Diceros bicornis minor: one gene and its partner. The protein of the gene in region 1 purifies or fractionates together with the protein of each later gene. This does not show direct contact. Links are inferred from orthologs where the notes say so. Each region holds a gene or a part of one and is shown on either strand. Other genes may lie near its edges.

Region 1 (3,905 bases):
TTTCTTTGTCCCAAAACAACGATGACATCTGCTTTCCTTACTGAAGAGAGGAAAGCCACAAGCTTTGAGAAAAGACGCACTTCCTAAATGTCAATTACTGACTCCGGCCGGGACGCGCTTTGTGCCCTGGGGTGGTCCCTGCTCTGGCCTGGGCTTCTCTTTCCCGATCTGTAACAGGATCCTGTTGACCTGCGTAACCTCATGAGCCCGACCCCTAACTCGGTTACCTCTGCCTGCACGGCCGAACCTCTCAGCCCGGCTCGCCCCTGGCCAAAAGGGAACGTGCCCTGGCCTCCCTCACCTGTCGGGGGTGCGTAGGCCCGGGCTTGGGGCGGGGGGGTTGGCCCCGGCCTCACGGAGGCGATGAGGCCACGCCGGGGCCCGTTCAGGAGGCGGCGCCCCTCGTCCCGCAGCCGGAGGCAGGTCCTCCACATCGCACCCGAGGGCCTGGGAGGACGACAGGCGCGAAACCTGAGAGCAGGAAACAGAGCGAAGGGATCCGCAGGCTCCGGCTGTACGGAAACCTCTCACTGCCTGCCCCAGAACCCTCAGCCTGCCCTGGACGCCGCCATCTTCCGCATGACACCAACGGCGCGCCGTCGCTCGCGCGCGCATCCTGCGCACACCCCCAGTCAATCAGCATCACAAACGCACCTCGCCCCGCCCCCTCCACGCCGCGTCTCGGGAAGAAGACTACAAGTCCCAGAGGGCCCCTCGCGCATCTCGCCACGTGTTTTCTACACCCGCCAATGGGTGGAAGCGCCGCGTGAGCCTGCTCCCGCCCCCCCGGCGCGCTCGAGCCAATTGGAGGGGGTGGTGTGTGTGCGAGGGCAAGTGGGGAGGGGGACTCGGCTCAGGACCAGGAGGCCCTGCTAGCAGGTCCCGGGGTCCCGGTGGCGGCCGGAGCGCTTGGTCCGCAGGCAGCGGGCGGGTGGTTCCCCCCTCCCGCCCCAGCCCCACGCGCGCGCGCGCGCCCCGGCCCCTCCCTCCCTGCCACCCTCCGCGGCTCCCGCGCGCCGGCGGCGGTTCCTCTCCCCTCCCCCCAGCCCTGGCTCCGGGGGACCCCGCGATGCCGGTCCGCACCGAGTGTCCCCCGCCGGCCGGTGCCTCGGCCGCCTCCGCGGCCTCGCTCATCCCGCCGCCGCCCATCAACACCCAGCAGCCCGGCGTGGCCACCAGCCTGCTTTACAGCGGCTCCAAGTTCCGCGGCCACCAGAAGAGCAAGGGGAACTCGTACGACGTAGAGGTGGTGCTGCAGGTGAGCGCCGGGCCGGGCCGGGCCCGAGGGCCTCCTCGCGGCGCTCGCGGGCCGTGCCCGCCCCCGGCTCCTCGAGCCCGCAGCCGCGGACCAGGCCCTCGCCACCGGGCCTCCCGCACCCGGCGCTTCACCCCCGGACCTGCCCAGCTGGTGTCTCACACGCTTCGAACCCCAACCCTGACCTGCCCCCTCACACCCGGAGCCTGTCGTGAGCAGCTCCTGGCAGACCCTGAACACTGTCCCAGACATGAAGCCCGTGACCGGCCCGCCTGGGATCCGGAAGCCCCTTATGACTCGCCACCCTCAGACCAGGGTCCTTCCTCTCCATGACCTGTCGCCCAAAGATCGGCCCTCCCTCGTTCCCTCTCAGATCTTGAGGAGCTCTCCACTGATTTCTCCTGACTCGGGACCCTCCCCATGGCTAGGCCCATGTCTGATTCTCCCAGACCTGAGACATGCCTCCTTGCCGCCTTTCCTCCCTCCCAGGAATCCTCAGGCTCTGGGGCCCTCCTCCTCCTCCTCCTAGGGTTTCGTCTTTGGGACGAAGCTTAATCAGCCCCCTCAGATCTGGGAGCACCCAACCCCCTTTAGCCCCTGAGAGCCCACAACCTACAACTGATTCCTGGCTCGTGCCCCCTCCCCCAACACCAGGCACTCACATCCTGGGTGCTGCTGGGAGAGCCTCCTCACAGTATGTTAGGTCTTGTGTCATGGGACCCCCTACTGCTCCAGTCTCTTCCTGGCTGGGACACCCAGGCCTCCTGCCCCAGGCTTCTCATACTCCTTACCCCTCTTTGGCCACTTCCAGTCTGCTCCCAGTCTCCCTGGCCTGCCTACCCAGATCTTCCCACCCCATGCCTTCGTCTTCCTCCTTTCTTGGCACCAGGGGACCCTCTTTCCCTGTTCTTAACCCTTACCTACACAGCCAGGCTTCCTGCCAGTCTCTGATACCCATGTACTGGAAATCTAACTCACCCAGTTTTAGTTCTCACATGGATAGTTCCTTCTCATGTCTATCCACCTCCCCCGATTTGACCTGGATCTCTGAGTGTCTGCTGCCAGCCCCTGATAGCTTTGGAACTACAGCTTCACCTGCCCTGGCCCTTTCCTGCACCTCATCCCTCTCATGCAAGTGGTAACACATTTGGCATTTTTTCCCCAGCCAAAGGAGATGGGCAGTGGTTAATGCTCCTTTTTCTCTCCCTTCCTTACAAAACTGTTCCTCCTTTCTACCTACCCTTGCCTGCCTTAGGACCCACTTCCCCCCTCCCTCTGCGCCTTTATCCTTAGCCTGACACCCCATCTCCTAGGCTGTTCCCAGAAGCCCGTCCTAACAGCTGTCCCCTTGAAAGGCCTTACAGAAGCTTTGAGGTCCTACTCTGCTGCCTTGCTGCTCCCATGTGAGGACAGAATGTAGGATGTGTCTTTTCCTTAGGCTTGCCCTTTGCTCTTTTGAAGTTTTAAATCTTAACGTCTCTTCTGAACAAGTAGATCTTCCACCCAAAAGACTGAGAGCATTTTCTTATTGCTAACTGCAGAGCATTGATCACCCTCTCTTTTCTTACTGTTTTGTTGGAATAAATATTTTTCTCTTTTTTTGACTGGGAAAACTACATCTTCATGTTAATTGTGTCTTTGGTCTATAAACTTACACTTCTGTTATGAGCCATGATATTTATTGTAAGTGAAAAACTATTGTGACTGAGGTATTTCTGTCTTCGTAATTGTAGGCCTCACGTGGTGATCCCCCATCCCTTTTGCTTAAAATGTGAGAATTTAGTATGAAAGTACAGGATTTTTTTTTTTTTTCAAGTAACTATAAAATTCTGCAAGTGAGATCCCTGGTGTGGTCGTGTTTGGAATGATCTTGAATTTGTGCCCATTGTTAAATTTGATGGTTTCTGATGTGGTTGGGGGACAACTGGCATGGTAGCTAAGTGTCAGAGAGAAGGCTGCTCTGGTTACTGTGGCAACTGCTGTCATTAGTGTGTTGTTTCTGAATTCCTGTCAGGTGCCAGTTTCCTTGTGAGCCAGTGGAAGCGGTGATTGAGTTGGTGCACGATTGCTATGTCTCAGGGCAGCCCAGAGCAGACACCTGGCGATGGCTGGAAGCCACTTGAGGAGGATGTCTGTGGCGGGTCGGGGGGTGGTCCTGCCCAGGAATGCTGCGCTGCATCTGGATTGGTGAGCTGTTTGTCAGTCATTGAAACAAGTCAGTGGCATGTGAATTGCCCCATCATCTGGTTTTTCAGCCAGGACTAGTTTCTTGGACTCTACCTTCCTAGAATACTTCTGCCTTTTATAACTCAGCCTCTTTCAAGCTTGCTTTTTTTCATATCAGCTTAATTGAGTTATAATTCACATACCGTAGAATTCACCCATTTAAGGAGTACAATTCAGTAGTTTTTAGTATATCCACACAGTTGTGAAACCATCACTGCAATCTAATTTTAGAACACTTTCATCACCCCGAAAAGAAATCTTATACCCCTTAGCCATCACCCCCCTCCAACCGTATGCAACCACTGATTTTTTTGTCCTAAGATTTGCTTATTCTGGACATTTCATGTAAATGGAATCATACAATATGTGACCTTTTGTGTCTAGCTTCTTTCACTGAGTATAATGTTTTTAAGGTTCAACCCAT
Region 2 (3,905 bases), on another chromosome or scaffold:
CGAGTGCAGAGAGGCCTTGAGGCAGTAACTAGCTTGGCCATTGGAGGAACTAAGGGTAGTGAGGCTGAAGCTTAGTGAGCAAGGAGATACAGGCCACGGTGGAGGCGCCCCACCACGTCAGGGCAAGGCGTTACGCAAAGGGGGTAACTCGATCCGAGTCTATGGAGTAGGGCGCCTAAGAGGCAGGGGCCACGCAAGTTCTTTGCGTTCCGCGAAGCTGCCCGCACAAGGCACGGGGGTGAGGCAACCGGTCAGGAGAGGTTTCTGGCCCAGGGGCCAAAGGGCCAGGGCCACGGGGGGGTGGGGAGTGTGACCTCCGGGTGTTGCAAGCATCCAGGCTGCACTGACAGCCGCCCAGAACCCTTCCCGGCGCGCGCCAGCCAGCAGCTCCCTCAGCCCGCCCGAGTCACCCGCGCCTTTAACTCTCGTTGGCGACCCCCACAGCGGCACCACCCACTCCGCCTGGCCCGGCTGGGTTTTTCGTCCGGGGCAGCGAGTCAGTCTTCCAAAACTTCGGAATGACAGTACCCCCAGGAGTGATGGGGAGATCAAATAATTTACGGCTAGAGCGAAGTCCTATGGAAAACAGACCCTTGTACTTCTGTCTCGTTTTCCCTCACGTGTTTCCAGAAATGACTTGCTTCCCTATATGCTCTCTAAGGCACCCCTCCAACAGCGAGACTATTGGTTTGGCCCCTCGTTCCGGATTGGCTGAAGGTTTACGCCTCGGCCAGGGATTGGAGAACGTCGGTGCCTTACTATTCCCCGCGCCCATTGGCTCATTTTCCCAGTTTCGGGGCGGAGCGTTTAGGGACTGTTTCCACCCTCTTGTTTACGGAGCGCGTAGTCGTAGGGCTCTCGGAGCGCTGGGGCTGTCTCCAAAGTTCCCTATTTAGCTCCTCGGGCCAATTGGGTCGTTGCTCCACCCTCACCCTCTCCCTTGCACGCCTCCCGCGTGGTACGGCCCACACCTTTAGAGCTGACGACCGTCGCGTTCCTCCGCCCGAGCTCGCCGTGCTGCTCCCCCTCGAGGGTGCTCTTGGTACGGCCCGCGCCGCCTCCTTCCCTCGCTGGGGTGGCTGCCCCCCCTCGGGTCGGCGGCGCTTGGTGCCGCCCGGGAGAACCAGGTCATCGGTCGGTTCCCGTGAAAACAAAAACAATCGGCGGCGCCGCCGCGGGCAGCTGAACGCGACGAGCAGGGGCCGGGAGCGCGGGGCCGGGGTGGGGGACGAGCGAGCAGGAGTGCGGCGACGCGTCGGGGGCCGGGGCGCCATGGGGCAGGCGGGCACGGGCTGTGCGGGGCTCCCTCGGCGCCGCGGCTAGCGCGCCTGCCGCCTCGGTCTCCTCAGCCGCCCGCGCCGCCCGCCTGGGGGACGAGGAGCAGGACGCGGCCTCGGCCGGGCCCGGGCCGAACGGCTGCGGACACCCGGGCGCCGGGGAGCCGAGCGCCGCCGCCGCCGCCGCCTCCGGGATGGATCAGTGCGTGACGGTGGAGCGCGAGCTGGAGAAGGTGCTGCACAAGTTCTCGGGCTACGGGCAGCTGTGCGAGCGCGGCCTGGAGGAGCTCATCGACTACACCGGCGGCCTCAAGCACGAGATCCTGCAGAGCCACGGTAGGGGCCCGGGTGGGCGCGCGGGGCAGGCCCACCGCCCGCGCCCGTCAGGCCACAGCGGGAGCATCCGGAGGGCCCGGACCCCCCCCCCCCCCCCGAGGCGCGGAGACCCCCCCCAGGCGCCTGTGACTTTTCCTCCTCTTTTCGCCCGATTTGCTTTGAACCTGCCCCGACCTCGTTAATTAAGAGCGAGCGCGAACCCACGCGGAAACCCGTCCCGGCGCCGCGGGCTCCAGCCGGGATAGACGTGCGTGGGGACCGGGCCGCCGCACCTGCATTCTCTGCTCTCCTGCACTGGGCGCCCCCCCTGGCCCCGCTCGGCCCCGGGGTCTCCCGGCGTCCCCGCGGGCGGGAGGTGCTCCACTTGCGTTGGACTCAGGGGTCTGTGTGATAAGAGCGTCAGTGCAGGAAGCCTCTTCATCCTCCCCTGCCGCATAATCCTTGGCTCGGAGACTGACTTTTACTCTTTTTTTCATAATTAGAAAGTCGAATGTTATTCTTAGCTGTGGGTTGACAGAACAGCCGCTCCTGCGACTTCATAGTTTGACTGCTGTCTGGAAGCAGCTCTTCTTCAGCTCCGCAGCAGCACTGACATGATTCCGAGGAAACTAGCTGGATCAGACTGTTCAGTTTGCCTAGCGTAGCTTGGGATGAGACTCAGGAAGAACAGGCAACTTTCCGGAAGCAAATTGTGGCACAAGTTGTTAGTTACTTCCTTTACCTGGTCAAGTTTTCACTTGTTTTCCTTTCAGAAAACCAATTTTCTATAGAAGGTGTTTTACCTAGATTATTTCATTGTTATCCTAAGCCCTGGGGGCAGATACTTTGCCAAAGTTAACTTGTGGAACCTGGATAGGAAGGGTTTTTGGTTTTGGTTTTTTAGATAACATTCACGGTCTGAGATCCTTAGATTAAAATATTCACAGTGATGATGCCTTCTGATCAAAAAGTAAAGGACTTTATTTAATAGATTTATTCAGGACGTTGGAGGGGCCTTCTAAGAAATTTATGAAGAGAAGGTTTGGTACCTGGGGTGAAATGCGGATCTTTGTGGCAGGTGAGATGAGGGCAGTGGTGCTAGCTGAGCTTGTCTCCTCTCCTCCTCCTACACCTTCCTCTCCCGCACTGCTGTCAGTGGCGAGGTAAGTGCTAGTCCATGGTAAGGGAGTCTAATAACGTCTCATTCCACACATGGCAGTCACTTTTAAGCTTTGGGGAAGAAGCAAACCATGGTGGCGGAAGGAGTTGAAATATTAACATGGTAAAATGAGCAGAGCTAGATGGCTGCCTGGGAAGGGGAAGTGCAAATGGGGTGGGAATCCTGGGAAAGCTCTGGTGAATTTGATTTTGGACATGGGAGATAAAACTGAAGGGCTGAAGAAGATAGAGTCAAGGGCTTAATCTTAGTTGGTTGCTGGAGATGCATAGATGGAGTTTGGGAGAAAAGTAAGGTCTAAGATGGTTTCCTGGTGTCATTTCTACAGAGGAGAGTGAAGGACATCACTTAGGCTGCAGGGAGGAAAGACTGTAGGGTCTTAGCACAATCTTGAACTCCTCTTGGAGGTGGAGGACCACCGAGGAGCCAGCAGAAACAGAAAAGGGCAGGGGCTTAGAAAAAGAGAGTGGTCAACTGGTATTTGGCTTTAGAGAGTCAGTGACCCTTTGTGCTTGCAGTTTCATAGAGTTGTTAAAATAAACTAGATTACTGGGAGTTGAGAAGAAAAATATGCAGACTGGGGTGTAAGAGGTGGAAGGTGTCCCTTCCCCCCATCCCCCCACTGGAGAGGAAATCTTTGTCTTGTTAAAGGTTGAAAGGAAGAGAATGAGTGAAGGGTGTAGACTTGGAGAGGTGGAAGGAACATTTCCTTTTTAGGGAACAGGTTAGAGATTGAGGGGTTGTATGCGCAGAGTTTGAGAGAGAGAAGACGGAAAGTAAAATAGCTTTCTTCCATGAGAGAGAGAGGGGATATTAATTGAAAGGGGATGTGATAGTGAGCCTCATTTTAGGGAATTTGGGGCCCATCTCAGATGGATAAAATAAATGCGAGAACGTGCTGAAGTAGGGATTTGTTTTAGACCTCTTTGCTTGGCACCTGGGAACTTTTCAAGGAATTTACGGTCTGGGGGTATTAGCCACACAGTAAGCCATGCTGTTCAAACAGTCTGACTAGGTGAATTGTATGTGTTCCCCTTTCAACCTCTTCTCTACCAAATTGCAGTCTTATACTGGTATCTTTTTGATTCTCTTTAATTCTTTAATAATAGGATTAAGTGACTAAAGGCAGTTACAAA

The links.
Region 2: the proteins of GID4 (region 1) and RMND5A purify together in Homo sapiens (affinity purification with mass spectrometry; 4 studies listed by BioGRID and IntAct, counting the BioPlex papers as one, with this or other methods). This does not show direct contact. The link is inferred for Diceros bicornis minor from reciprocal best matches to the Homo sapiens genes GID4 and RMND5A.

The regions. Positions count from the first base shown.
Region 1 is NC_080757.1:1,437,361-1,441,265, forward strand, and holds the start of GID4 (glucose-induced degradation protein 4 homolog), read left to right. Parts: upstream 1-906; 5' UTR 907-1,069; coding exon 1,070-1,258; intron 1,259-3,905. Other genes in the region: ATPAF2 (ATP synthase mitochondrial F1 complex assembly factor 2), read right to left, coding at 302-434.
Region 2 is NC_080751.1:3,339,260-3,343,164, reverse strand, and holds the start of RMND5A (E3 ubiquitin-protein transferase RMND5A), read left to right. Parts: upstream 1-1,290; 5' UTR 1,291-1,471; coding exon 1,472-1,613; intron 1,614-3,905.